4 linked regions of the Drosophila melanogaster genome follow. The protein of the gene in region 4 interacts with the protein of the main gene of each other region in a pairwise test. Each region holds a gene or a part of one and is shown on either strand. Other genes may lie near its edges. The genes, in order: RtGEF, CG11905, CG3323 and CG14625.

Region 1 (6,620 bases), on a different chromosome or scaffold from region 4:
CTGAGATCATCAGGCATACTGGCCAGATTCTCGCAGGCGGTGAATGCACCGCCCAATCTAGCTGCAAAAATGGAACTCGCATCGGAACTTTGTTGTTGCAGGGAGAACGATGGCTTGACCTTAAGAATTGGCTCTTCCTCAACACAGTTTGTGATGCTGCCACCCACACCTAGCTCCAAAGTTGCCGTGGATGTGTGCACACTGGAATTTCGAGTCGTGGACTTCCGAGCCAAAGCTCTTAGTGCTCTGGATCCTATAACAAGAGACTCCTTTTTTAACTCGTTGAGCGCTAGAACTTCGTCCGTGTCCGCGGAATCCAATTTAATGAGGTTGATAGAGGAACAGTGCCTCCTGGCACCCGTGCCATGGTCCACGAATGTGCCTGTGGAGTTGCACATGGAATCGTTCCGCTTGTTTTGGTAAAACTGCACATATTCAAACGGATCCGAGTCGCAGGAATGCAAAAAATCATCTTCAAAGTCATCGTCATAGCTCTCCGAGTCCGTTGGTAGTTCAATTGCATCCTGTCGTTCCAACTCGGACTGCCCCGAATCCTGATTGGTATTGAGATCTTTTAACTTTGCAGATGCCTTGTGACAACGCCTTTTGCGCAACGCAATCCTTTTGAGATCGATGCTCTGGCGAGCCTGCGGATACAGAAGCATCTTTACGATAGCACTCCTCAGTCCGCCGCCTTTAACAAGCCTGGCAAAGTGAGCACTAAGATTGGCGTACGGAGCTGTTGCTGGGTAATTGCTTGGGGGAAGAGTCACACGGAGAGGTCGCACATGGCACGGGGGGCTGGAGTAATAGGCACACAGCGAGAATCGCGTGCAGTAGCCCCGTGAATCCAAATGTTGACTCAGCTGCTCACGGTTTAAAGTGTCGCCAAAACGAAACGATAATAAAGGTGAATATATAGGAGAAATATACTACTTACATGAGCGGCATTTAGGTGTCCTAGCGAAGAGTTGCTCAAGTTACTCAATTGCCGTTTGATGCCCATCGGCAAGCTGGGATTATTGGCATTGAGCAGCTCCACCCACTTGTTGGCCTCATTCGGACCCTGACAAACTGCTACAATGCGATCGATCAAGGGACTGCTTATCTCAAAGGCGTTCTTCAGGGCATCCGTGTCCTCCAGGCGATTCACTATGATCCCAGTTAAGGGTAGCTTGCCCTGCGTGTGAAAACAGATTACAAACAAATTCGCCATGTTGTGCTTGTGTTTCCCACCTCATAGATGAATGCACTCATCCGCTGACTAACGCTAAGGAATAGCAATGTTTGAGGGAAGAGCACAAAGTATCGGTCGCGATGATCAGCTCCAACTGCAACGCTGCCCATGTGGATGATGTCCCCGAGGGTGCTCAGCTCTTGGCCCTGCCATCCACGCACTGGCCCCGTGAGCACTTGCAGCTCCAGCTCCTTTTGGCGACGGGTGGCCGAGCAGGTGGCAGCTATGTCTTTGTACACGGCAACACTCCGCTGGGTGTCGCCGCGATCCGGATGACTGCTCTCCATATGCCGCTCCAGCTCCTGCAGCATGGCCGAGTATTTGTCCAGTCGCCGGAAGGGCTTTGATAGACCCGTCGTGAGCACAAGTAATCCAGGAGTGGCTGCGCCCTGTCGTTCCATATACTTTTCCAGCTCGTCCCTTTTGGAATAGAAAAAAATTTATATTTATTAACAATTGAACACCACAATATATGTATATAAAGCGAGGAGCACATACTTGTACTTATCCAGTATGACAATGGCCTTTGGATGGGCAGCGCAGTACGCCTGGTGCACCTTCTTCATCAAGGGGGCGCTGGTGAGAAATAGTTTTCCCACTCGATCGTTGCACTCCTCGATCTGGATAAGCAAATCCTCGTGCGTACGCACAATCTCTACAAAGTTACACATCAGCTGGGCGTACTCATCCTGACTGAGTCTGTAGAAGAAGCCCTTTTAGATTATATTCAAATTATGTCAGAGAATAGAGAACTTACATTTGCGTCTGTTGCATGGGCTCCAAGAAATTCTCGAGCAGACCCTGCAGCTCGGCCACATGGGCGCGCTCCGAGTCAAGCAGATCCTTGAGCACCACAGACCGATACTCCTGGATCTCCTCCGGCGGCCTTATGGTCTCCGTTAGAGGCAGCTGCACCTTGCACTCATTCACATAGTTGCTGGGAAACCAGCCAGTCTTATCGTTCAGCGTTCCCTCCCACCAGCCACCATCCTCGCGCTGGGTAACCGTGATGACATCGCCCTTCTGGAAGCACAGCTCGTCGTTATTGCTGCCCATGAAGGAGTACTCCGCCTGCACCACCAGTGGCTGATCCATTATCGGATTGTTCAGGGCTGATCCGAGTGCGCACTAGATTGATTCAACTGAAACGAGGCGATGGGTATTGAACTTGAAACATCAGCCAGGCAATTTGCTCAATGAAAAAGCATATGTGAGCATATCGCTCGTTATATACAGCACCTACGCATTATTGCAGCGATGAGCTACATCATCGTCGATCGCTCGGCATTCCTCAGCCTCTTGGAATTAGCCGAGCAATAATTATGGCCCCAAAGAAGAAAACATTTTGAAAACATCTGTCGAGAAACGCGTGCGCAAGTTTCTTGACACTTTTCCGGCGACTCCCCTCCGGCTTTTCTTTCCTAGTTTACTGCAAGTGTCTGGAAAACTCGTGCGCTACACGATGGCCAAGGTCACACAAGCTGCGAGGATCCATTAAAAAATTGGGTAAAAATCACTCGCGCGTATTGTGAAAGAAAAACTTTTCGGGCCATAAAAACAATTTGAATAGCCGGACAGGACAGGCCAACATATAAATCATAAACAACGGCCACGTCGCGTCTAAAAATATTTACGACCTTTTTTATTTGGTTTGTTCGAACAACTCTTTAAGAGATCAACATTTCATTCAATCGTTAAACACTTTCGTTGACGGAAATGGGATTGGCACATTGGATTCTAAAGGCAAGTGCACTCTATACATCAGATATCTATAGAAAGAAGTAAAATCGCAATATTTTCGAATGCCTCGAAAATTATATTACGACATTGTTACTCACAAAAACCCCCAATATTCCAAAGCTTAATTGAAATGGTCTCTTGTATGAGTGGCACTAGGGGGCTAGTTAGTGGATGTCATTATTTTTAAAGTCGTTTATAAAAGTCTTTAGCCTAGTCTATTCGTTGGTACTATTTAAAATTGGCAGCGCGACGTGTGCTTTTATTAATATAGGAATTCCTATGTTTATGCAAAAATTCAATTCTGGACTGAAAATGTTAAAAAGTGATATATTTTCTAAAAATAGATGCATCACATTTGTTTGCTATTGCCGCAATGAGTAAACGCAAAAATATGAACAACTTGGTTTATTTTGCCCAAATAGTTTTCTAGAATACTAAAAATAAAAAACAGACGAAAGTGTACATATTGGCGGATCGCAAGTTCTATATGCCAAACTGGAACGTGTAGTTTTTCACGAATTATTACCGCTCTCATGAGATTGTCAAGATTTATAGGCTGATGAGAATATTTCCCTAAGGCAAGGTCACGTTTTGGTTGCACAAACGCATGAAAATTTCTTAAAATGTCACTTTTTCGCCATCTAGGCACTCGAATACATATACCCGCTACTCTTTTGTATAGATGGGTGATATATACTTTTTCGACAATAAATTGTGGTACGACAATTTGACGTTTTTCGCCGTTTTTCTGCTCTCAGACGATGCACCGCACGCGTTCATTGCTTCAGCGAAACTGCCGAGAAAAGCGGAAAATACCGAAAAGCTGGCGACATATGGCAGACGAATTTTCCACGGCAACCGAAAGTGCCACTCTCGCAGTCATTTTCTGAGAGTCTCGTCGGATCGCAGGAGATTCGAATATATTTTCACATGTACGCGAGCGTTTTCGACCGGACACATCGCATATTTTCATGAAAAATCAACAGAGATGTGACAAAAAATATGAATCCGGGGACAACCTTTTCATCTGCGTTTCCAAAATGAGGATCTTAATTGTATTTCATTGAGAAATAAGCGACACTCGCTGTGCTTTTGTATTGTCTATTCAAAAAAACCACATAAAAATATTTGTGCCAAAATATATGTGGGTTGCCTATTGGATGTGAGATCTTCCATGTTTGTGGATTCAGTCATCAATCGAAAACTTCTTCATATTCAAGCATTTTAGAATTATTTCAGAAAAATTCACCTGTTCCGCTCAGTTTCCTGTTGATCATACAATATATGCCCGTGAATCATAGGAAACGTTTATGGAATGTGTAGACTTGTATAATCTAAAATTTAGAATCGTGCGACACACATTGTGGTTTTAATGGGATTATGGCCTCAGGAAATGTTAAATTCGTCATATTTTTAGAATTTAAGATAGAATATAAATCAAATTTAACCCAAAGACTTTCATTCTGAGACAAACAAGGAGGCTGGAACTGTAAACTCTACTGAATAAAGATGTTGAAGCTTATAGACCGACGGAGAATTTTTGAGCTAGAGTGACCAAGAACTAAATATTTTTTCCACAGAATATTCGTATTCAAATCTGCCGAGATCAGAATGTCGGCAAAAAATATGCTTTATAAGTGCAGCGCCAAACCCAAGCCGAATGTATGTCACTTTCCTTCGCTTCGTTTAACCCTGAAATCACTTTAAGTCCATGGCCGGGCACAATCAAATTTCCGTAGGTGGTGGTGCTCCAAACGATGCATCGGAGGTCAGATGAGCAGATGCATAAATGCAGATACCGAGCGGCACACACGCAGATATGTGGGCACATACAAAGATGCATACATACCCCATTGAAGCTCTCGGAACCAAATTTTAATTAATTCATTAAACTTGCACATGGCGCCGCGCGGATCGGCTATGCGGCCCCATATCCAGATACAGATACAGATACAAGTTTCAGATACAGATACACCGGGCCCACGCTCTCTGAGTATAAGAGACAACTCTTTCGGTTATTAACGATCCGTCGCCGAAGGCGAAATTCAAATGAATATCCCTGCCGCTTCCGGAAATGCGCAATTTGGCGAGTAAAACGTCGCATCCATCGGAGGGGAGCACCCCAAATCAAATCACCGAATGTTTATTTTCGTGGGACACTGGGGAACGTAAACAACAAAGACGAGAGATGTAAAAGAAAGGCGAGTGGATTGTTTTGCTTGGCAAAGTCAGCGGCAAAGACAAACAAAGTCAGCCAAAGACAAACCAAATTTATGCAGTTCTGCCTGGTCGGGACCGGATCCGAATCGCTATCCCTACTAGCTCAGCCGAACTGCACTCAATAAGGCCTCTTCAATGTGTCAATACCGAGATTTACAGGCTGCACAGCCGCCACTTGAGATGCATTTCCTCAGATATATGGACGTAATATAGTTTGATTGCGTCGCTCGCCGTATTTATAGATACTTCGTGGCGGAGGAAGTCATCGGTGGCTGTGGGCACACCGAAGAGGTGAGCGAGTGGGAGTTCCAATAGCTTGTGGGGATCCGCTGTTCTCGACACCAACACACCAAGAACGAGGTCAGCAGCGGAAATATGAAGAAACGCGGTTTCCCAGCAGACACGAGTGAAAATCAGGCGCATGATTTGACGGCCAATGTTTGTTTTGGGAAATCACAGGCCCACATACAGATATTGCCAACATGCTTTCATTAAAGCGTAAGAATAACAACCATAGGGCGCAAAGAGCCAAGTGGTTCGACGAGATCTTACCCTAGACTTTTTCACATTCCCCACATAAATATATACAAACAAATATAACTTTTTAAACCATGAAATAATTCAATTTGATTTAAATAATATTTTCTAGGGTAGCTATTTATTTTGCAAACTGCTTTTGACCTGGTGGCCGAAACCAAGATCATGTGAGAGTAAAGAAAAGCATGAATTTGCATTCAGCTTGCCACCACCTTTCATAGGAAATTCTCTTGGCAGCGGTTCAAAATTGTTCGGGTAATGATGCTTGTTGGTTCTGGGAATCCAATGGGGGAGTTTGGGGCCGGGAGGCAGGTGGCATGCGGCAGGCAGCGGCAGGCAGAACGTGCCTCCGTCGTCGTCCGGCAGTGCATTTTACTTTCGCAGCGAGTGCTAGCAAACAAACGCTTTTCGGGAGGAGCTGGAACGGATGCCCCACGAGGAGCCCTGCTATTGACCCAATGGATTATGCAGGCGGACCTCTGAACTCCAGAAACCGGCAACAAATTACTATTGCACGAGCAGCAGCAAGTTGAACAACAGTTGTGCCGAAAGTACAGGAGTCATTACATAAAATGTATTCTTGAGCTTTAAGCTTTAAATGTCCTTTGTTGGGACTAAACGATTGAAACTGTTTTTAACGTAAATAGGATTTTGTCATGTGTCTAAAAATGTATTAGATTTTCTATATAAATATGTTGCTTAAAAGAAAGTGTTGAAATACAAAAAAAAAAAAAAAAAAAAAAAAAAACCAATAATTCAGTCAACTAAATGCTTCTTGTAAGAGATATCTTCATCGATGAAGAATTTAGCAGTATGGGTATATTAAAATCTCAAGGGGAAATAAGGAAGAAAACCCGCTCTATTATTATATATGCCATATATGTAT
Region 2 (8,641 bases), on a different chromosome or scaffold from region 4:
TTCTTAACATAGGAACATAGGTCAGTTGGGAGGAGGAACTACCAATTAGATTCTGTTGGGTAACCTACTACATAGAGCCCATTTTCAGCAACTGATTTCATAGGAAAATTGTCTTTGCGTGTTTTGCGTACTGTGTCAATTGACTTTCAAAATAATGCCAAGTAATCAGTTAATGAAAGTGAGCTTTAAGTTAAATCCTTGCTCCTTTACGTGAACAGATCCAATTCCAAATCCGCCGTAGCATGCGCCTTGCCACCCACACCTGCTATGGCCACAGATTCCGGATTGAAGTAAACGTTGGTGGGTACACCCTTCTTCAGATACGCCTTGGAAATGGGCGTGGATATGGCAGTGCCACCATTACCAACCACCGCTTTGGAATGAGGTTCCAGGATGAGTGCAGCCTGCTTGCGTCCCTGGATCGCCTGAGCCTGCTCCGGTCTATAGGGCAGGAAGTAGTTTCCAAATGGGATCTGCGGAAAGTTGCCGGAACTCGTGCTGGTCTTTCCGGTGGCCTCAACCTTCAAGGGAACTCTTCCACCCGCCTGCTTTCTCATTTTTTGTGGGGCAATCGCCTTCTTCAACTGCTGCTTGGCGGAGCGGGGTGACCCAGAAGTGGAGATCACTAGCTTGCCCGGCACCGGAACGATCTCTTCGATCACATACTCGGGGTTTATTTTGCTGACCGCTGAGCGGAGACCCACATCACTCTTCAGATCCCCAGTGGTTCGGGTCTTCACTGCAGGCAGAGCCTGTAGCTTTTCTGGTTTCTCCAACTCGCTGGAGCTGTCATCAGCTAAGCTTTCGGGTCGGCCAGTTGTGGTAGTGGTCGTTGTGGTTGTTGCACTGGCTATGGTGGCTTGATCGGCACTGGCGATGGTGGGTTGCACCACATAGGCCAGGGGCAGATTGTAGGCGGCGTAGTATGGGGCACTGAACAGCACGGGTTGATAGGCTCCATAGGGCGTGAGGTCCTGGGCCGGAGCAGATCCTGCAATGAGTTTTCCGGACTTCTCTGCGACGGGTGCTCCTGGTGGCCAGGCCTCGATATTGGTTGTGCGCCAGTAGGCACTTGAGTTAGGATAGTTTTTGGTTTAGGAAGAGTGGGATAGAGGAAAATGGTGAAGAGAACCGCCGGTTAGTCGTATATTATTTACAGCAATAATTCGAGGGGTTAAACTGTGTCGGGTTAATATCATGCGGAATAAGTGTGATATCTAAAACTACTATGTACAAGATGAAAGCAAAAGCCCAAACAATTACGAAATACAAATATTTATTAGAACACTAGACAATACCAACTATGGATCCTAACTAAATGTGCTAAATAATAGCTATTAGGTTTAAGCCTCGAACTGGATTAGGACTCGAACTGGCCCGTCTCCAGCCCCGCCCCCTGATCCGCCTCCATGGTTGTTGTGCCCGTGGGTGGAGCATAGTAGACCGTTGGTCCTGTAGCCACTATCTTTCCCTCTCGCGGAAAACTTCTCGTCTCCAGATCGGTGCGTGCCAGGGCATCTTTAAGGTCCACATCTGCCGGTATGGAGATCACCTTGGCCCCGGGACCGGCGATGGTGAGACTCCGTGGATGGGTGAGAGCATAGCCACCGGGACCAACAATCGCCGTTCCTCCGCTGCCCGCCGTGGCCACGCCCCCGGGTCCTGCGATAGCGATGCCGCCCCTGCGAACCTTTAGCCGCTGAATGATGATTCCTCCTTCGCGCAATGCCTGCTTTTGGGTGCTTTCCTGAGCGGTGGCCACCTGGCTCACAGTGTGCATCAGGTGATGGCCCTTGTGAGCAAACAAGTGCTTCTCTGAGGAGGCACTGTTGTCCAGTTCCGCGGCTGTGTTCTCAATGGTATCCACATCATCGGCCATCCCATCGCCGGCGCCCTCGTTTTCATCCTCCCATTTATAATCCATCGAATCGATTGAGTGATTCTTCACAGGAACATTGCCAACAACCACAGGACCTTCTCCAGCTGTGGCCGCCATTGGAGGTCGGAAGGGGAGCTTGAAAATGTTTTGAAAGGCATTCTTGATGGCAGTCGAGGTCTGATTCTGCATCTCAGCTATATTCATTCCGGGCATGCGGAATGGACTTAAGCGATTCCGATTGGGCAGCAAGCCACCAGATGGTGGTAAAGTAGAACTCAACAGGACAGGCGCAGATGTAGCCTTGATATTAAGGGATGTGGATCCCTGGTAGATTTGCTGTTCAGCATCCTTTCCACTCAAGCGAACGGGTTTCGCTGTGGAACCAACCTTCTTTCTGTTCAAAGAATTTAATTCCGGTGACGAAGTGGGCTGAATCTTCTGTGGCTTATGCACGGGCTTCTCGCGGGAGTCCAAACGATATTCCTTGAAGTTCACAGGCACTGGAGCCTTTGTGGTGGTCGTACCAATGGTGGTGGAATTACCCCTTTTTGGGGTGCCATCTTCATTGAGAGCCAGTTCTCGGGGCAGGAAGAACAGGTGATACTTGGGCGTCGTCTTGCCCTGTTTTCTTCCAGCCTTCGCCTTGCCATAGAAGCTGTCCACATCGCCAATGATTTTGTATCCCTTTATCTTGTATTCCTGCGAGGCGTGCTCCTTGAGATACTCCTCCTTATTGAGTTTGTACAGGTGCACGGGCACCACAAAGTGGGCGGGCAGCTGCTGTGCTTCTTGTTCGGAACTCGGCTTCGGTACCTCCACCTGTTTGGGTCGGAAGTAGAGTTGCGCTTTCTTCTCCTCCTTGGAGGTGCTCTCAATTGCCTGGCGCAACCTGGGAGGCACATTGTAACTGCCCGCCACATTTCTTGTGAGTTTCACCGCCCTAATTGAGGGTTCTAACAAGGTCTGACCATTACTTCCCGAGAAGTGGTGCTGATGGGCGTGAAATGGCTGATGGGCGGGCTTGGGGAACAGGTATTGACTGGAATCAAGGATCGGTGGCAGCTTGGGCTGCTCCGGCTGCTTCTTCACGTAGCCAAAGGCCTCGTTAACCTTGGCTATCTGCTCGAGGATGCGCTTGGCCTCGTCCGCCTTTTCCGAGGACGGAGTGGCCGCATTGGGCTCAAAGTCCTCGGGAAATTTGACCAGCCGCTGCTTCTGAATTCTGCAAACGAAAGGTGGGGTTTGTTTGGTGGTCTCTATCTGTTGGTGGAGTTAGCTTCTAGTTGCTAATGCAGGGTAATGTGTTGTTGGGTGGAGGGAAATGAGTTTTGAGGGTTAGTCACAAGTCTGGGCTTTTTTCGGTTTAGTCACATAGTTCTAGGCAAGCGCATCAACTTCTACTTGGAATGAGCATTAGCGTTGACACAGTCACATTTGGCAGGCAAGGCATTTCATGGTTATTTGGGGTCTTAGGGCTGGGTAACTAGCTACTAGTCTACTTACTCGACGGCCAGTCCACCGTGCTGTTGAGCCTGGCCAAGTGCCAAAGAGGCCAGAAGCAGTGTTGAGAGCTGAAAGACAAATGTGTGACAATAGATGAATGAGATCTATGATTTATGCCGGTTAGATAGGGTGTCTGTATTCTGATGTCGTAATGGATACAAAATTCACACGTGTGGAATGCGGTCAAGTCCCGAAAGTCGCGAAAGTCTCTCTCTCCCTGCTCCTCCAGCACATTTGCATAATTTCTTTCGCTGCTGAAAGCTACGCCGAAAAGTGAGAGCCAGGTGGCAAGGAACGGCTTATGTACTTGACGGATTTTCCCTCGAATACGATTGTCAAGAACCTCACGATCGGCAAATATTTGACTCACTCTCGCCGGCTCTCCACATCTTTGGCAAAGTCAATATTGACGCAACCGTTAGCCGGTGGAAACGACCAGCCCGCACGCCTATCTATCAGCGCCGAAATGTCACAAAGCCGAGAGGAACTGAGACCAAAAGCCAAAACCAAAGCTGGATTCGAAGTCGAGGCTCGTGTTGTGTCATTGACCTGAACCTCTAGGCGGCTGTTACGATTTCGGTGCCGAAACGTAACTCGAGAGAAGAGATTCTGGCGCAGAGGCTGTCGAACCTGGTTGCCATTGATTTGCAAGAACTCTTGCATCCCCAAGCAGTAAGATGTATTTCTGTCTGCTTTCTTTTGTGTATTTCGCCTTATTTATTATATTGCCCTCACATAACGATGCCGATTCGACCCCATATCAGGTGTGTCTTGTCCAAAAATAAACTGGGTTAATGGCTCGAATGCAAAGTTTAAGCGCAGCATTTTATGTTCTCAAACAAGTTATAAATGAGTCTGTCTCCTGATCTTCACATCCGATCAGGTGTCTTTTGGTCTTAAATGATATTCCAGAGCCATTCCAATGCAGCTAATTGAGCAGGGATTGATGGACTTGGGACGTGTGGCTAACTGTCTACACTCATAAATTGATTAATTTATGAACCACTATCGAAACGATCACAAACTCGAAAACAAACCAGTGCACTTATAGTTAAGAACCCCACACAAATGTGACCGATTGTTTGATAGTTGGGAGGGGGAAAAGAAGACTTATATTACCATTTGTTAGCCCACGCATGATTTTTATACGTTTGCGGCATATTAATTTTATGTTCTTTGAGTCATAATTATTTTTTGGGCTTTTCAACCCAAGTGGTTGTATTGGTTGTGGTTATAATTGAATGGCATTGTTGCTTATGGGAGTCGCTGTAGAGTTTTGACTTTTAAGGGCATGCTTTTCATAATGGGAATATGAATAATGCAAGGAACAATACTTCCTAGGTATGAATGATTAATTCTCACTTTTTAAATTGGGGTGGGGCTAGAATATTGTCACGTTCAAATGGAATGGACAAAAGGGTTTCACTTTTCAGAAAGAATTAACTCTTTTGAAAAACCTTTACTAAGTGAACAATAACTGGCACAAAGAAGTCTTAACCTTTTGCATTCATATAAAAAAAAGTTTCCCCAATATAGTTCTTTGCGTCCAAATTGATTTGTGATTATTATAAACCCCAAAAAGATTTTAGGCACTCTTATTAATATTTGCATATGGCACAGAGCATAATTAAGGCTAATTAAGGCGATCAAAAAAAGGAAAGAACCAAGCCAAGAATCAAAAAAGTCGCTTAGTGAAAGTTAGTGTCGATTCAGAAGTGAAAGAAACAAAAGACTTAAGGCACGAACTTGGGCCAGTTGACGAGTTAATGAGTTCAGCGGCAGCACAGAGCAATAAATGATTAATTGCGGTCAGGTATAAACTAGTTTCGTTTTGTATTCCCAAAATGTGAAGTTAAGTCATTCATGGTATTTAATTTTCTTTTTTATGCGATTTGACTTACAACAAGAAAGCGCATTTTAACGCGAGGTTCTGGTGAATAGTTTCAGATTTTTCAATAAATGCTTGGTGTTCGTGGCGTTGACCAATCCTCGCCTTGACAATATATCCTTGAACTGCAAACGAGAACGGGAATGAGTGGCACTCTGGGTTATCACGCGGCAAAATCACACACACTAAAAGCACTATAAAACCAATCCTGCTGAGCTTTCAATTTACGATTGTTTCAGGTTCCGTTGTTTTTCTTTCTTTTTTTTTGTCACGCACAATAAATAGGGTCTGGAAATGGAACTCCTACCAAGAACCAAGAGCCAGCGAGCCAGGCGACGTCTGAAGATGAACTGAGTGCTGGCCGGGCCCAGCGCGTCTGTTTATAACATTTCCATTAGCGATGCAAACGACGAAGCGAAAGAAATGGCCAAGAAAACAGGGCCCGATCAGGTGTAAGAGAACTGGGTTTTGGGCAGAAGAGAGAGTCGAAGAGAAGACCGCGATTCGGGCACGTAGTCGAGCGCCTTGGCCTGGCTTTTATCTGGGGGCGTGGATCTGTGGGATTTGGTTACCAGCTCCAGGGTACACAACACCAATTGATATGCAGGCTTACAACTCTAGGATTTCGCAGATCGAAATCTTCCCCGATCCCTTGGGTTAGGCAAATAGTTTGCCTAACATATTGTCAGATATTTCTCAAGCATTTGATTAAATGTGCTGACAGTCGCTTCTTCAGTCTACTGTTTCGCAAACTCGCACCTAGCAAGAACACAGAATCACAGCGCTGACTTTGATTAATTGGCCGTTTATTGGCTTGATTGAGTGTGACTGGACAGGAGCGAAGTGACTGGCCATTACAAGTGGAGTGAGCCACGAGAATAGAAGCGAAATGCGTGTGGGAAGTGGAAAGGTAATCAGCTCGGAACGGGCCCAGAACATGACATAAGCCAAAATGGTAAGAGACTTACCGTGATGAAAGAATCGATTCGTTGCCGGGCAATTCAATTAAAATGTTTGCCTGGAACTCGTTAGAAAGTTTCGCACATAGTGACTCAAGAGTCATGTTCTTTTTTTTTTTTTTTGATTTGACAAGCACTTCGGCGTGAAGACTTCACACACTTCTCGGGTATCAACAGATGTCAGGATTAAGACTTAGCTTCGGACCGTTTTTGATCGATAATCATGAATAACAAATGTCTGAAATCAGAGAAATTGATTTCAGGTTCGTGCCTTAAGTCATTTGTTTTCATTGCAGACCAGTCTTTATTAGCCCAGAACCATTAATTTTGTGATTAACTTTGCTGTGATACAACTGCAATTTATTCTTTTATTGGCTTTTATGCCCCGAGCAGCCAGCTACTGACTGCGCTGTGAAATAATGCATATTCCTTGATTAAGCAGCATCGAACGGGGGGTCGACCTTTGTGGCACACGCAGGCATCAATAAAATTGCCACAAGATTTATGGTTTCGAGTGCGCAGAGCCGAAGGGAGCATACGAAATTAGCAGCAACACGTTGTAAGCCCCGAATGCGCCACACGCACCACTTGATCCACAATTGGAATGCAGCAATCAAAAGGCGATAAATCGAACCCCAACTGAAATCCAAGCAGCCGAAGAGCGAGTCGAGAAGTTGAAGACCGAAGACCGAAGACCGAAGACCCAAGACCCAGAGACCTTGGGGCCTATTTATAAATGCAGGCGAAACGGGACTGCTAGTGGGATGTCGTTGCCTAGGCCCGGGCCAATTAAGTCTGACCTTCGGCGAGGAGGAGAATCCCAGCCCAAACCGTTGTTTATGAGGGGGAAAATAAACAGAAACAGCTAACTGGCACCTGGGAGAGCCGGAGCCCCAGTAATTTGTGGTTTCAATGCAGGCCGTTCTGCTGCTACGCTAACCCAATTATGCACCTCGGCTACTTCCCAGGTGAGCCATTGATTTCTACGCTGAGAACGTGGCCATTTCAGCCATACAAACCCTAGACCCGGCCGAATAGAATCTATGTCAAGCTATGGCAAGCTTTTTAGTGCTCTTCTGTACGTTCTTTTAGTGCATTCGGCGAAGAAAGTTTTCGAGTGCGTAGGAACTTGTTTCAGGGAAATCACTCGCTTAGATCTCTTGACATTAAAACTTAATTGTGGCAGTGAAACTTTCGGTCAAAACTGGCCCATGTAATAACTTTTTGTTTTAGCAAATATGCATATTATTATTGCTTATGGGCTTTTCTTGGCTTCGCGCGGCCAGAAATATATTTTATTTAGGCCACGCCGTGGACGCCAAGGCTTTCCGTTCGATTCAAATTATTTGGCAAGTGCGCGCACGCGTCGAACATTTCAAATGCTGTATTATTTTGGTCCCTTTCCGACATGAAATTGCCCAAACAAAAATAAATAAGCCACAGAGCTGACTCAATTTGGCTTTGGGATGCACTGTCCATTTGTAAAATGACTTTGTGCGACCGAATATAACCATTTTTATGATCGGAAAATCAATTAGGGTTTATAACATGCATAAATCGCCGCAGTTGTATCGTGCCAAAGCACGCGCCACAAGCAATTAAAGCTCTTACAATCATTTACGATCAGAAACTGACAATGTTTACCCTTATCTACTTTATGCAAACATTTTTATTGTAAAACGTTTAAAAATTATGTCCAGGCAAGAAAATTTTCTATTAATGCGATGACCGCTTTTATGGAACTCAAGTTATGTTTCTTTTTAAAATGAAGAAAAATATTCTTTCTACCGTCCTATTTAGCATAATATTATATTCCAAGATTTACAATTACAAAAAGAATTCATACATTTTTGGACATCTATTTTTACGTACATTTTTTTTTTAATTTCACCATTATTTATAAATGTTAATATAATGTCTTCCGATCCAAAGATAATTTTGTGCCGCGTAGAAGTTATGAAATCCAGAGCTCTCGATAATATTTGACTATTGCTTGCATTCTATAACCAAGCAAAGCTGCACTCTTTTCTTTGAATGAACTCTGTTTTACAAGTCATTCATTCTTTGACATATGTTTACAGTTCAGATCCCCGATCACGTAGGTCTCAAACACGACAGGTGACACTGTCAGATCTCCAAAGACTTCCAGTAAATAACGCAAAACACCCAAGTAGAACGAGCAATAGTTTTGGCTAATATATTTTATTTACGTGTAGCCACGATATTTATGCAACTCTTGCAGGCTAGTCAAGGCATTTGTTTGGATTCCGTTTCCGATTTCGATTTCCGAGTGCGGTTCAGCGGCGGTGGTGGCCTTGGCCAAATTGCCACCCATGACCACGAATCCGATGCCGGCGCCCGCCTTGTAGCTCAGCTCATGGTAGCCAGCCTCATCGTAGTAGGAGTACTTGC
Region 3 (6,659 bases), 4.1 Mb from region 4:
CCGGTCAGACGATCGATGTTGAGGTGGAACTGACTGCCAATCATTATGGCCGTTTCGAGATGTTCCTCTGTCCGAACAACAATCCGCGACAGGAGGCGACACAGCAGTGCTTCGATCGTTATCCGTTGCTCATTTCGGGCAGTCGAGAGCATCGGTATCTGATACCGCGTGATGCGAAAAAGAAGGATATATTCCGATACAAGGTACGTTTGCCGCCATATGTCACCTGCACACAGTGCGTACTCCAATGGACCTACTATACGGCCAATATGTGGGGCACCTGTGCCAATGGCACCGAAGCCGTTGGCTGCGGCAAGGCAGGTGAGCAGAGAGTTGAGATAGTTTTCGAATGAAATGATTTATATACATTCAATTAACACAGAGACATTCCGCAATTGTGCGGATGTGGCGATCGTTTCGAATACCGGCGGCGGTATTCCACCGCCTTTCGTGAATAACAAATCGCCATACCTGCTCTATTATCGAGATTATCGTGCTCCGGCGGACAACAACATCTTTCCACTTATTGTGCGGTAAGTAGAGCAAACGCAATGTTTCTTCTCAGTTCTCAGGATTTCGAAACAAAGGATTTAAGCTATCTGTTTTCCACTATCCGCTTCTGCCTTTTTTATTCAGTTTATTGGGTTCTATTATCTTTTTGCTATTCTCTTCTGCTTTAGTTACTTATTAACCGTTTCACTTCACACCTTTCACGATACTTTACCGTTTCCGCTTTATTGAACCATCTCTCCTCGCTGTTCTTCCTCTAACAGAATATGTGTTCTTTGTTCAGCTCTGCGAACACGATTTTAACTCTTGCTTTGGTTTCTAGCAATGCCACGCGGCATGCACGCAAACAAGGCAAGGCTAAGCCGCCTGGCCGTTAAACAGCTTACCCGATACCTGCTTAAAACCGCTTACCCGCTTACCCGCTACCCGATCGCAAACCGATTTGATTACGTTTTTCTAGCCCTAGTCGAAACAGCTATGCACCCGCGTTCGGATGGAATCCCGCCCGAATCGGGTCAGAGTTCAAACGAGTAACGGGTAAAGGTAAATTTCTCCACCGCCTACATTTAAGATTTTAAACGGTTATGGTACACACACGCACAGGCACTGCTGTACATAAAGAAATGCTTGAATAAACTTAAAACCTATAGAAATGCTTTTTATATTGTTTCGCTTAACCGCTTCGCTTAACCGATACAGATTCGAATGGGAATCGAAATGCTTTAGATGCTAACGGTTTGCAATACACATGAAATTTTATTAACTTTGACGTGGCTTCGCTTGGGCCCGAGTAAGAAAACAATAAATTCGAAAAATAATGTGAAATCAAACACCGAATCCGGTTATCGGTGCTTTTCCCGCTACTTGCTATTATCGCCACATTTCCCGCTACAGTTTTTCTCTCTCCTACTTTTGCATTCACTGCTTCTTTTTCTATGGCATCTTGGCAATATTTCGATGGTTGTGTAGCTTAGCAGATAATATCCGGAGATCCGATGGCCATGATGAGAACTAATATAACAGCGATCTGGACCATTCCCACCAATACGGTTTTGAGCAACTTCAAACGCACCTTGGGCTCCACGTCACAACGAACGGGTGGATCGGGCGCTCTACGAGTTATTACTTTCCTGGTCTTCTTTGGTCGCGAATCGAGATTGGATTCCAACGCGTCTTCCTCTTGCACTTTGCCGTTCGGCTCCTCCACTTTCATTCGCTTCCTTGTCCTGGGACTGGGATTGGGTGTAAAGTCTGGTGAACTAATTTCCTCTTCCGCTTCTCGAATTTTCTCCAACTTGGACAATTCCACGTCCGTTTGAGTGGTATTGTTCACCTGACAAGGACATTCAGTTAGACGATCGCCCTGCTCCTCTGATTTCACTGCAGGAGTAGGAGGAGCAGCAGCAGCAGCAGCATCATCCACGCCCACTTCGTTGAGACGCACCGAGAGGCGTGAATAGGCAATGGCTCCGCCATAATGGGCCATAGTTGCTCCACCGCCACCCGCCTCGCGTGTGGCCACCTCAAGCTGTTCGACGGTGTTAGCATCCATGATTTTTGAATCCGCATAGGCCAGACTATTGAAGAACATTGTGTCCTGATCCAAAAGATTAAAGGATCCCCCAGCGCCGGGCACTTTTCGCAGTTGCTGAAACAGCATATTCGGATTCTTACGCAACTGACGAAAGTTGGTGCACTGCAATGGATCATCCTCGTTGAGCTGGACCAATGGCGGTTCCTCTTTGGGTGCCGGTAAATAGAAGCATTGCGACTCATCCGCCGTCTTTAGCTCGTTAAGTGTTTTGGTCTCGATGCGAAACTCTTGGACAAAGCCCACATGGCAAACGGTGCCAATGATGCGTGCCCGCATCTCAATAGCTGGTATATATTCCAAGCGCAAACAACACAATTTCCTAATGGGCAGCTCGTCCAATTGATTGGGACTGGTGCGCGGTGTGTAGAAACGTCCAGATGATTGCCGGCTTATATCCGTAATGATTACGTTGCTTCTCGGCTTGGGTATATTGGTGGCCCTTAGTGTCGCCTCCAGTTTTTCGCTCACCTTATGCAGCATATGTATCTCATGCTGCAGCACGGGCAGTTTCTTTGACACCTGATCCAATTCCAATTGGCGCTGCTCCTTCTCGTACTGATCCTTTTCCAGCTGGCGCTGATTATTGTGCCTGTGGCACACCTCCTCCAATTGCAACCTCAAACGGTCCTGACTGCCAACCGCCTTCGACTCGAATTGCTGCTGGCGCTGCAGCATGGCCGCCAATGTGGGACTATCCAACTGGCTGGAGGTGGTCGATGTGCTCTGTGCCAGTCCCTCGACGGGCGAGAGTGTGTATCCCTCGCCGGCGCCACGGCTGCATAGAGCCTCCTCGGAAATGGTCCTCTGCAGCTTGAATGTCTCCTGTTCCTGCAAGCTAAACTCACCATCCTTTGGGCCATTCAAGTGCTCGCTGCTAGCGCGCAATTTTCTGGCAGTCAACAGAGCTTTGACCTTCTTCACCGGCTTGCATACATAGACGAAACTCTTGTTCCCCTCATCCGGCAGGCGTATGGCCTTGGCCAATTTGATCTTGTCGTGATCCATTGAGCTGCCGCTGTCGCTTATTAGCTTATCATCACTGCCGTCCTGCAGAATGCTGCTCTCGCTGTCATGTGGTGTATTCACCAAATGTTTAGCCTTGTGATTGCCCAATGGCAACGTCTGAGATTGCTCCACCGTGACCTCAGTGGTCAGAGCTTCGCGATATTGATTCTTCCTCGGCGATTTGTCCGCTCTGTTTGGCAATTTGGCCACTCGGGGCAGGAAACTACGCTGACGACTGGCAGTGGTGACATTCTTATTGGTGCTTGCATGGGTGCTGCTTAGGAACAACGGAGGGACCGGTATTCCGGACTTTGGTGGTTGTGCGTAACGATGTCTGGGCGACAATTGACTGGTCCAATCCTGTCCAGCTGTGTTGCAGTTTCGAGCCGAACGATTGCTGTTGTTAACTGAACAAAAAAAAAAAAAAAAAAGAAAACAAAATAAGAAAAAAAAATCTGAGATCTTTGGTTGGACGAAACTTACCGGTGGGCAGGCCACGCGACAGCATCTCCGTTCTGGTGTAGGTCATCTTGCGGCGGACATTCTGATTGCCCGTCGCTTGTCCCTCGTTGCCGACGTGATTACCCTGGTCGCCGCCCAGCTGAACCTGTGCCTGTCCCTGCATTTGGATGACTTGCGGCAGTCCCTCCTGGCCGCGATCTAACTGGCGTATCTGATTGATTCGATTGCGATTCATGTTGGTTGCTCCGCTACAGCGATCTATTGCGACATCTGCTATATATATATATATATATATATATATATAATATGTGACCTTCGTTTTGTGTTCGATTTATTGTAATGTCGAGCTTATAAAATAAATATTGGGAGTGGGAGCACTGTTCTAGTCGACTGACTGAGTGAAACGAACAGCTGGGACTAAAATCGAAATCGAACTTGACAGCCGAACGCCGGGTGTTCAAGGACTGCTGCGATGCCATTTCCAAAGCCATCTAGTTGATCCTAGTAGTTTTTTTTTTAGCATCATGGAATTCTTCTTGTTATGTGGCTATGCTATTGATTTCTTTTAGTGACCAAAAGTGCATTGGCGCCCCAGCATTCCGTGCCTTGCCGGGCATCGACAACTGGTGCGAGATCAATTGCCTGCGCTATCCGCCCAATTGTCCGGAGGACGCCTGCCAATGTCCGTAAGTATGCACATGAATAATATGTATCTAACGAGATACATACATAGCAAGTTCGAATCTAAACCCATATCAATTGCACAGTCAGGAGTGCGTGGCCATTGGCGAGTATGCTGGACAGGATGGTGCCGACACCTACTGCATGGACAAGTGTCTCAACTATGAATCGGAGTGTCCGCCGGACAGATGCCGCTGCTACTAAACCGGATTGCGAGCCACAGCTGTGCTGCCCACCCATTGCCCATGCGGAGGATGCGAGATGCGATATGCGAGATCTAATGAATTGAATTTAATCGAAGACACTGCTCTAAATTGTTTGAATTTCAATGGCTTGGCAAGGGGGGGTGCCTCCGTTTGTTGGGCTTTCCGTTTCAGTTCTCAGGCGTCACCGCAAGCCTTACTTACTCCCTCCTGTACGCGTCGTACAGAAAGGGTCGGGTGAATGCCTCGAGCAGCTCGCGCTGTTCGCGCAATCGTCGAGTCTGCGCCATCGGCGACTCAGCGATGTCGATGTTCCGCCGGGCACGGAAAAGTGCCGATACCGTGCTGCCCAGCTGCTGCCAGCGTTCGAAGGCCCGGGATTCGGTGTGCGGCGCATCGAGCATTACTTTGGACGACATCACTGATGCCGACAATTCAGCGATCTGTGCAGCAGCAGCAGCAGCAGCAATGTCTGTGCTGTTGGTTTCCGGTTGAGGTTGCTGTTCAGATTCCAGATTGAACTGAGATTGGGACTGGAGGTCGGGCTCCGTTTCCGGCTCAGATTTGCCAGGAGATGGCAAGTCAACGGACAGCTCATCGGGTGGCGGCATTGTCTGACTGAAGATGAGCACCTCGGCGCGCTCCTCGCGAGCATCATCCTCGCTATCCTCCAGGGGCAGGGCGTCGGTGCTGCCGCTAACTAAATCCCGCACGTGCGCAAAACTGGAAGCGATGCGACGCAGTGAGGGGTCATCCTTTTCCTTTTTCGTCGGCATTGCCGGCGCATCGGCATTGGTTTCCACCGGCGCCTTCTTGCTGTAGGCAGCATCCATTGTGGTTGCTTTGGTGGCGATGACATCGCCGGCATTGGTCGTCTGCTTCTGGCGCATCCTATGCAGATTTATGCTGGAAAATTTGTTACCATAGCTTTGACGCATCTCGGCGCGCTTGCGACGCGCCTCCTCCTCCGTCCTGGCCGCCTGTTGGTCCCTGGCCATCAGTTGCTGCGCCTTTGACATCGTCTAACTCCAAACAGGAAAACGAAATACGGCAAATCTTTAGTTAACACTAGCAAAAAGGAAAAAAAAAAAAAAAACAAAACAAAACACGGACCGAAACGAGCGCTGAGAATTTCGAGAGTTTCAAATGTGCGTCGATTGACTTGGTTACCAATTTGTTTTCAGAAATATAAATACGGTAGCGTGCACTGGAACAGCTTTTGCACAACCTACCAGGATCCTATGTACTACTAATTAACTACTCAATTTTCGCTCGCTTTCAATCACATCTTTAATAGATCATCCTCAATCATCTTAAGCATAGTCTTAACAACTCATGTTGGGTGGCGAAAAGGTTTTGCCAAGCGAGAAAAATTCATATCAATTAGAATGGAGTGGAGCTTTTGGAGTGGATGCAATGCATCCTTAAGCCTTTCAATAGAACTTATTGTGCATGTCTGCGGTGAACAACGTAACGCGATCACAAACATCAATGTTATAATGGAAAGTGTGTGTTAACTGAGTGAGTGTGTGTGGGTGTGTGTGTGTGTGTGTGTGTGTGTGTGTGTGCTAGAACTGCAGCCGCTTCTTCTGGGCCAATCCATTGCCCCTCACCGTAGTCTCGACCAGCTTGCGCTTGAGCGCAGGCTTCGTGTCGCCGGTCTGCGGATTGGCGCCCTCCTTGGCGGCCAGAATGGCCGACGGCATTGGCAACTTGGGACCCACTGTGGGCGCCGGTTTGTTAGCGAAATACGGCATGCTCAGTGCCTCGCGGCAGGACACACGCCGCAGCGGATTCATGGCAAACAGGCGTTGCATCAGATGGATCAAGTCATTGCCCGCGGCGGTGAATATATTGTCCAATGGTGTGCCCGGAAAGTTGCGAAACTGCAGATAGTCGTGCAGTTTGCTCAAATGCGGCCATTCAGCTTCCGTGGGTGTTCCCAGTGTGGAAAAGATCCGTGTCAGCTGATCCAGATCCGAATCGCCCGGCATGAACGGCACTCGCAGCATAAGTTCAGCCAAAATGCAGCCAACTGCCCACATATCCACACCGGTGCCATATTGTCGGGCGCCAAAGAGCAATTCGGGCGAACGATACCAGCGTGTGACCACGTGGTGCGTGTAAATGCGATTGGGCGAACCGAAGGACTTGGCCAAACCGAAATCGCCAATCTTTAGGATGCCATCGCTGTTGACCAGCAA
Region 4 (7,729 bases):
TCGGATGTGGATTCGCCAAGGGATGGTCCGTGGGAACCACCATAGGCTGCGGATCCGGGCTTGTGTTGCTGGTTATGTCCCTGGGCTAAAGACGATGGTTCTGGTGGCGAGGAGAACAGCTGTTTCCGGTAGGCATCTGGCAGAGATTGGGTCAGCAGACGAGTGTCCGTACTATCCAGTCCGATGAAGCGGTCGTGCTCAAAGTCGCTGGAGAGCGTGTAACTGGGCACGAGCTTTACATCTCGTCCAGGAGCTGCAACTGTCTTGTGGCTACTGGCGTGCGCCTCAGCCGAAGGAAGCTTCTCTAGGTCCAGCTCACGAATGGGTTGCCAAAGGTCTTCCCGCAGCGGAAGCTGTGACTCAAAGCGATTGGAATGCTGCTGCTGGTGCTGTTGGAAGCCATGCGAAGATTGCCAGGGTTCGTGATTTTGGGGTTGCTGCTCTTGAACGAAGTTCCAGTGCTCTTTCCTCTGCTGATGCTGCTTGTGACCCTGAATTTCGTGATGCTGCTGTTGCTGCTGGAAATGAGCTGGTTCGTAGGCATATTCGTTTGCGTGTTGGGACTGATGGTGTTGCAGCTGGTTGGGGCTCTGTTGATAGTGTTCCTGCCCGTAGCTTTCATGCTGTTGCTGTTGGCTTAATCCATAATGTTGTTGGTGGTTAAATCCCTGATAGTGCTGGTACACAGGTCCTTCATTGTAGGCGTTCTGATGATTTTGCTGGTTTCCGAAGCTCTCGTGTTGCTGCTGGGAAAGAGCCGTTTGCCAGGAGTCAACCTCCTTCTGCTGATGGTCGTGCTCCGGCGCTCCCTGGCCATGTTGCTCCTGTGCTGGGTAATGATGTGAGTTGTAGGCATTACTGGGGCCCTGCTGATCATGCTGGTGACTCGAATCCAAGGGGCTGCCGTGCGAGTGCGACTCCTCCGATGGGAGATACTTGTGGGCGGGGCCATTGTAGCGGTAGCCGTTCCTGTTGTTATTATGCAATGGCTGGGGACCAACCACGACGGCCTGGATACACACAGCACCCAAAAGGGCGAAGAACAAGGGGATCTGGCAAGAAAACCTATTAATACAGGACCTTCGAATGAAATTCGCCGGGCTCACCTTTGCGGCTTTGAGCATCGTCTATGCGGCTGATTTGGGGGCTTGAATGCTGAGTGAGCAATGACTAGCTATGGCCAGTGAAAATACGTTTTATACCCACCATCATCGGCCGGCACTGAGCCACTATATGATCTTGAATAAAATCTGTGCGTGAGCGGGTGCCGAATTTGAGCCACAAAAAAATAGAGACAATGTGGCCGCTGGGCTGGCGATTAATCGTCCAAATCTCACGTAACAACACATTTGACACTCTTTTCTGCCATTTACAACAGATTCTTACCCGTACAACTTGTGTTCCTATATAAAACCAGAATGCAAATGCGGTGGATGTACTTCCACCAAGAGAAAGAGTTAAATTGCAAAAGAGGAGGCACTTTTACTGTGACTTACCCAATCCGAGGCTGAATCTCTGGATGTTTCAATCAGTTCGTTCATTGGGTGGATGTGGGCGGCTGCCTTATAATTGTGCGCTAAAATTATTAATTACATCACACACACACACACTCAAACACTCACACCCACACATAGAGCGAAGAAATGAGACGAATAAAAATCGAAACTAAAAAAAAAAAACTGATCAACAGAGGCGGCATTCGCACTTTTCCAAGCAGTTCGAATTTTTGGATAGATATAGAAAATCTAGTTCATGGGGCTATCATGATAATGGAATGAAGTCTTGAGCTATTTAAAAATGTCAATGGATAAGCGATAGTTTTTATTTTAAGTTATTTCATTAATTTGTTTATTGGCGTAATTTGTTATCGTCTGTTTTAGTTGGCTACCACTTCAGCAGTTGGTGGCCATACAATAAATAATCGTACTTACACTTAGATTCTACAAAAAAAAGACAATAGCATATACAATGAAGCATGCTCGAAATTCTGGCATAAAATAAGCTATGAGGGTGGTGGTGGAGTTTTGCGGCTTATTCGATTGATTAATCGAGGGATGGGGTTTACTATTTGGGCGGTGGCCTCAGAGCCAAACTGGCTTCCAAGTCCTTGACCTCCGATGAGCGCAGTTGCTTCTTAATCGCCTCTTGTCTGGGATGACCGCCTCCCCCCCGCTTGCCGCGCTTTCCAGCTCCGGTCCCCGTGTTACTGCCTATGCCAGCCACGCCCCCCGACCCGGCACCGCCTGCTGGTTGACCTCTGACCTTGTACGTGTGCTGATAGCCGTAGCCCTCGGGATTGTTGTTGAACTTCGGACTGTAGCTGTCGTATTCAAGACTCGGGTGCTTGTTGCTGTTGCTGTGCGAGTGGGCGTGGCCATGGGTGTGCTGGTGGGCGTGGCCGTGCGCGTGGGACAACCAGGGCTCATGATCATCTAGTAGGGTTTCCTTCTTCAGCACATAATGATAGGGATAGCCTTCTTCGTTAAGGATTAGTTTTGATTCATTCTCAGTCTCTGCTTCCGGCTCGGCAAAGTAACCGGATGAGGAGTAGCCTTTGTAGTCCGGATGCAGTTCCCCGGATGACCCGGAAGCCTTGAGCTTGTGGCGATATTCCTGCAGAGCTGCCTCTTTACTTTTGTAGGGCAAGGCATTGATGTCATGATAGATTTCCGAATTGAAATACAACTTGTGCTGCTTGCCAGAGTTTGTAAGCCTCTCCTGATCTTCCCGAGAATCACGCTCCCTTTCCCTTTCCCTTTCCCGCTCCCGTTCCACTCGATCTGGAGTGGGAACTACGTGGGATAGATCGAATTCTTCGATGTTCTTGAGGGCCGCACTGTGGTCAAAGTGCTCGGCACTTTTCAGAGGCAAAGTGTAGGGCTTCGAAACCGTCTTCACTGTGGCCGTTTGCAGGGGAGCTCGGGTCTTGATTTTGTAAATAAACTCCACATTCGGACTCAGTTCGTCGACGGGCAAATCGGGGGCCTGATATGCCGTTTCCGTTTCGGACTGAAAGTGCTGAATGGGCTTTGAATTCGTTATTGCCAATGAAGAGCCCCTCAGTTTTCCGGCTATTTGGTGGCTGTGGTGCTGTGGGTGGAGCACCTGCTGCTGGTGGTGATGCAACTGTTGTTGTTTTGTCGTTGGTGGGACCGTATACTTGGGCCTCACTGTACTGCTGCTGTAACGCTTTTCCTCCGAGTGTGAATGCGAGTGCGACGAGGGAATGGAACCGGAATGGAGACCAGATGAGAGCGTCTGCGACTTGTAGTAGGTCTTGGTAATCGGCGGAGGCGGTGGTGGTGGAGGAGGCGTGGCCGTCTCTTGGGGCGTACTTATGATTTTACCTTCGGCCTCTAGTTCCTTCATGTACTTGATCACGGACTTTTCAATCTGTTTCATTATCTCCGATTTGGGAATTTCCGTGGAGGCAGAGACCCTGACTTTTTCCTCGGCCTCGGCCTCGAGATTTCTGTAAATTTGCGGCGGTTGATAGGGGGCGTAGATGTTGTTGTAGTTATTGCTGTACTTGGGACGATAGTGGCGTTCGATGTCTTGCTCTTGGGCCTGGACATGGGACTCGTCCTCGGTTGCGTGTTCGTAGAGTTCATAGCTCCGGGTCACGGGTTCCTTTTCGTAGACTGGCGCAGGCGCTAGGGCGGGCGACGGCGGAGAAGAGGAGGACGACGATCCAGACGAGGATGGCGACGAGGGTCCTGAGGACAGGAGCAGGGCCTGCTGATGCAGTTCCTTCTGCAATTGCATCTCCAGGATCTCCCTATCCCTTCTCTGTTCCTGGTAACTTCTCTGGGTGGTAGGTTGCTGTTCCTTTTGCGCCTGGATGTGGTTGTTGCTAGGGTTCTGAACTTGGCTTTGACCTCGCAGTTGAGTCGGTGGCTGTTTGTAGGCCAACTTGATGGCATTGGCCACATACTCGGCTGCCGATTTAGAGTCTTCTAGGTTGACATACGCTCCGGATCCGGATTCTGCGGTCTGCTTTGGATGCGATTCGTGCTCTGGGCGAACGAGATTTAATTCCACCTGGCCAAAGCTGTAATCTGGGAAGTATACAATGCATGTCGATTGCGGATTAGTGCATACTTTTAGGCTTGCCAAACAAAATGGGACGGTTTATTACCTTTGCTGGGCGCCTCCTTTAATCTGCTTTGTGTAACCGATCCCCGCCTGGAGTAACCACGATCGTCGGAGCCCCTACGGCTAGCTGCCATAGCCAGTTGATCGGGAAAGGCCTTCTCCCCAGTCACCTCCAAAGAGGACACCGCTCCTGAACCTCCCGATCGACGGCGACTGTTCCCAGACGTGCCTGAGGTCACAGTCACGGCACTGCAAAGCGTCGACATCTGTTCAGAGAAATTAGAAAGAATCACAGCTATTTGAAAATTACATAATCGGAGATTCGCATGGCTTACAATAAAAACCGTACATTAAAATAAAATGAGTAAAACGATAGGACAAACAAGGAACCTTGGCCAACTGATGAGTGTGCCATTTCAACGGGTGCTAGTTAGGCGAACTGCCTTAAATTGGCCTCTTCGTTTCAGACTCATTGGCTTGTGCCTACTTCGCAATTAAACTAATTAAACTCCGCCAATTCGCTTTCGCTTTCAAGGAGGAGAAGAGAAAGAAAAGGAGAAGGAGGAGGCGGTTGATAGTCAATTTCTGTATGATTGAGTTGGCGGCGCTCAGTTGGCCAAGTTCAATGGACCGTTTTCCAGAGGAGAGGGCAATGACACACCGGCATGAAAAACCCGCAGCACGCAATTGCGAATCGCCAAATGGATCCTTTTCGATCGAAATGGGAAAAGAATTTGGCGATTATGTATCAAAAACGTAATTCTCAGTCATTCGGGACATATTTTCCCAAAAAGGCTAATCTTTTTGGTCTTTGTTTAAAAATTTGGTGTTATGTTCCGAAATGTAATTTTAGCGGGATAAGCTTCAGCAGTTCATTACTGAAGATTCAAATATTAATGTTTTTAAAAAGTTTTAATTGAGTATTTTTACATATTTTTTTCACTTATTTTCGTTTTTTATCGTAAGATACATTTATATATATTTTTTTACATATTTATTTATATTTTTTACAAATTTATCACTCTTCTTCACTGAATTATTAAATAAAAAAAATCTCATTTTCAAATGGGCTGTTTTTTTACTTCTGGAGATTCTCTCGAGTCCAACATTTATGAATTTTCAAATACATCACTACACTTTGGATCACTGGCCACCAAAAAAAAAGGTACTCCTCGTGAATCGAATTATCCGAATCCTTGGACGTGAGCGCACTACTTACGATGATCAGCAGACACAGGCACCATTGCCGCCGGCTGAGAATGTTTGCTCCCATATGGACAAGGTGGTGCTCCTGATATTGAAGATTACGGAATCGAGATGTGAGCGCTGACATCATGGCGCGCCAGAGTCTCAGCTGGAATTGTTAGCGGCCAGCTGTCGAGGCGAGGCTTTTATAATGATGCGAACCGCTGCAGCGGAAAATTTATGCGAATGTGCGCGCCAAAGAAAAGCGAGAAAAGTGCAAGTGCAAGCGAAGAGAGAGAGACAGTTGGAGATAGAGAAGGGGAGAAAGATCGCTTCACTTTCGATGACAATTCGAATCGTAATAAGCCATCGACGCACAACACGGCGTATGCGTGATAAGTTCGCCCATTATAAGTCGATAAGGTGCAACAGAGAAGGCGATAGGCCAGCACGAAAGAGAGAGGACAACGGGACAACTGGTTTATAGTTTTTAGTTTCTTGGCTTCAGTTTCGGCCTCTGTTTAAGCTGCCACTTTGATGGCCAATTAAGCCATAAGCTAAGCCAAACAATCCCCATTCCACCACAGGCAGTTCAATGAAATGTTTGCCGGCACAGGTGGGTAATACCCGTAATTGACTTGTAAAATCCTCGCCACCGAAGGCATTTATTGGGTTAAACGACAAATAGTGGACAACGGGCAGTAGTCACTAACCCACTCTGGAGTGGAGTCCGGAAAGCAGCAGGACTTTTGCAAGTCCAATGACTCGACAGGGAGCCTTTAGCACCCTTTAAATTAAACTTGAAACAAATCCATTAACACTAGATCTGTCTTATTTTATGTATTCTTAAATTTCCCCATTTGCTGTATTCTCACAGTGTTTACATTGCGGGCAGTCGGTGGTTGGTCGTGGCAGATCTTCACTCGGTGGTTGGCTTCATGGTCACTGATTCAGTGCATAATAATTAACAAGGAGCCCAGACAAACGGAGAAAAGTGTTCGCTGATTTATGATGATTTTACCGAAAGAGCAGCAGCAATTGCCGTTGCCGAAAACCAACAGCGATGATTTCAATTTCGATAAAGAGATCCGGACTTAGAGAACTGGGAGTACGCCTTGGAATAACTTGCCAATTGGCATTTCATTGATTTCCCTTACGTGCTGGCCGGGGATTTCTTTATTGCGGACTATGGCGCTGGCCCACAGGGCGTATGATTTATATTTTAATATTCTGCATGAGAAGCGAAAAACGAAACTGAAACTGAAAATGAAACAATTGCCACACTTAACACTAACGATAATAGCCGTAATAATAAAAGCGAAACAACTTTGCAGCGGCTAAAGCAAAGCAAAACAAAGCTGGCAAAGCGTTTCGGCTCCTCCACATATGTGCAGATCAACAACCTTGTCAGCAGTCGAGTGCGATTGCCATAGGTACATAGATACATATAGCCATGGCTATCCATGCCCCGTTATGCGGCCAAAAACTGCAGAAACTACCAAATCCACTACCAGCTGCCAGCTGCCAAAGAAACAGCTGTGGCAGCCGCACCAGATGAACAGTCTCAATACCAATTGATTTGCCAAGGATTGGGTTTTTAATTCAATTTAACTAATTCAATCAAAGATTTAACTGCGGCTTGAAATGTATCGTAAATGTATTTAAGTTCTTCATCTCATACATCTTCATACACCGATCAGCATTTATTTATTTCTTTAACTTTCCTATTGCCTTTGCTGCACTGTGGCAGCTGCAACGCTTCGACAATGCTGAAAAATGTTATGTTTGTGGATCGGATTGCTTACATCTTTCATCTCCCACCCTGCCACACATTGTAAAGCAATTAGTTGTTTATAGCCGGAGCTGGTATTTTCTTTCAAGATGATCGTTTAGATCTGAAAAGTGACCTCTTCTGCTGCTAAAAAACGCAAGTTCTGGCCAGAGAGATCAGAACTCACTTTACGGCAAATAAAGTGACAGAAACCTACTTAAGTCCGACTTAATCTAGTGCACCAGTCATCTACTGTAATTTGCTACGATTTGCCGCCCCAACAAGCCCAGTACTTTCACATGGCGGTCTCTTCCTTTTTGCCACATCCATCTTGCCACATGGATGTTTACGTAAAGATTCGAGATACTACTGACAAACAATTAGCATAATCAGCTGCCGCAATGGATGGTAAATTGTGCCAATTTCTATAATTTTGAAATGCGGCAGCGCCTGTCGACTACTTTCCACTCAAATTAAAAAGCGGTCGGCAGCTTCCGCACTCACTGGCAGATTCGCATTTTCATTCGTCACTTGCATTTGCATTTGCATTTGCATTCCCAATGCCGTACCTCCTCCTCCCATCGGGATGGTGATCTCTACGCCTGGCCATTTTGCACGGGGAATTCAGAAGTGCGCCGTCGATCACATTGTTTTGTTTGAACCTTTGGGAAGCCTTCC

Evidence for each region.
Region 1: the proteins of CG14625 (region 4) and RtGEF interact in a two-hybrid assay, tested with the Drosophila melanogaster proteins (one large-scale study listed by BioGRID).
Region 2: the proteins of CG14625 (region 4) and CG11905 interact in a two-hybrid assay, tested with the Drosophila melanogaster proteins (one large-scale study listed by BioGRID).
Region 3: the proteins of CG14625 (region 4) and CG3323 interact in a two-hybrid assay, tested with the Drosophila melanogaster proteins (one large-scale study listed by BioGRID).

Annotation. Positions count from the first base shown.
Region 1 is NT_033779.5:20,351,122-20,357,741, reverse strand, and holds the start of RtGEF (Rho-type guanine nucleotide exchange factor), read right to left. Parts: upstream 3,776-6,620; 5' UTR 3,675-3,775; intron 2,380-3,674; 5' UTR 2,333-2,379; coding exon 1,995-2,332; intron 1,937-1,994; coding exon 1,736-1,936; intron 1,658-1,735; coding exon 1,237-1,657; intron 1,181-1,236; coding exon 941-1,180; intron 867-940; coding exon 1-866.
Region 2 is NT_037436.4:16,929,911-16,938,551, forward strand, and holds CG11905 (uncharacterized protein), read right to left. Parts: upstream 5,627-8,641; 5' UTR 5,578-5,626; exon of another isoform or gene 5,396-5,577; 5' UTR 5,299-5,395; coding exon 5,284-5,298; intron 3,451-5,283; coding exon 3,383-3,450; intron 3,102-3,382; coding exon 1,361-3,101; 3' UTR 1,262-1,360; downstream 1-1,261. Other genes in the region: CG13022 (uncharacterized protein), read right to left, coding at 8,436-8,641.
Region 3 is NC_004354.4:5,301,739-5,308,397, forward strand, and holds CG3323 (uncharacterized protein), read right to left. Parts: upstream 3,954-6,659; 5' UTR 3,807-3,953; coding exon 3,593-3,806; intron 3,517-3,592; coding exon 1,481-3,516; 3' UTR 1,250-1,480; downstream 1-1,249. Other genes in the region: CG42749 (uncharacterized protein), read left to right, coding at 1-321, 383-533, 4,141-4,257, 4,339-4,456; CG17764 (uncharacterized protein), read right to left, coding at 4,656-5,474; Cdk7 (Cyclin-dependent kinase 7), read right to left, coding at 6,024-6,659.
Region 4 is NC_004354.4:1,197,257-1,204,985, reverse strand, and holds CG14625 (uncharacterized protein), read right to left. Parts: upstream 5,441-7,729; 5' UTR 5,369-5,440; coding exon 5,315-5,368; intron 4,362-5,314; coding exon 4,139-4,361; intron 4,059-4,138; coding exon 2,065-4,058; 3' UTR 1,829-2,064; downstream 1-1,828. Other genes in the region: CG11381 (uncharacterized protein), read right to left, coding at 1-1,052, 1,107-1,124.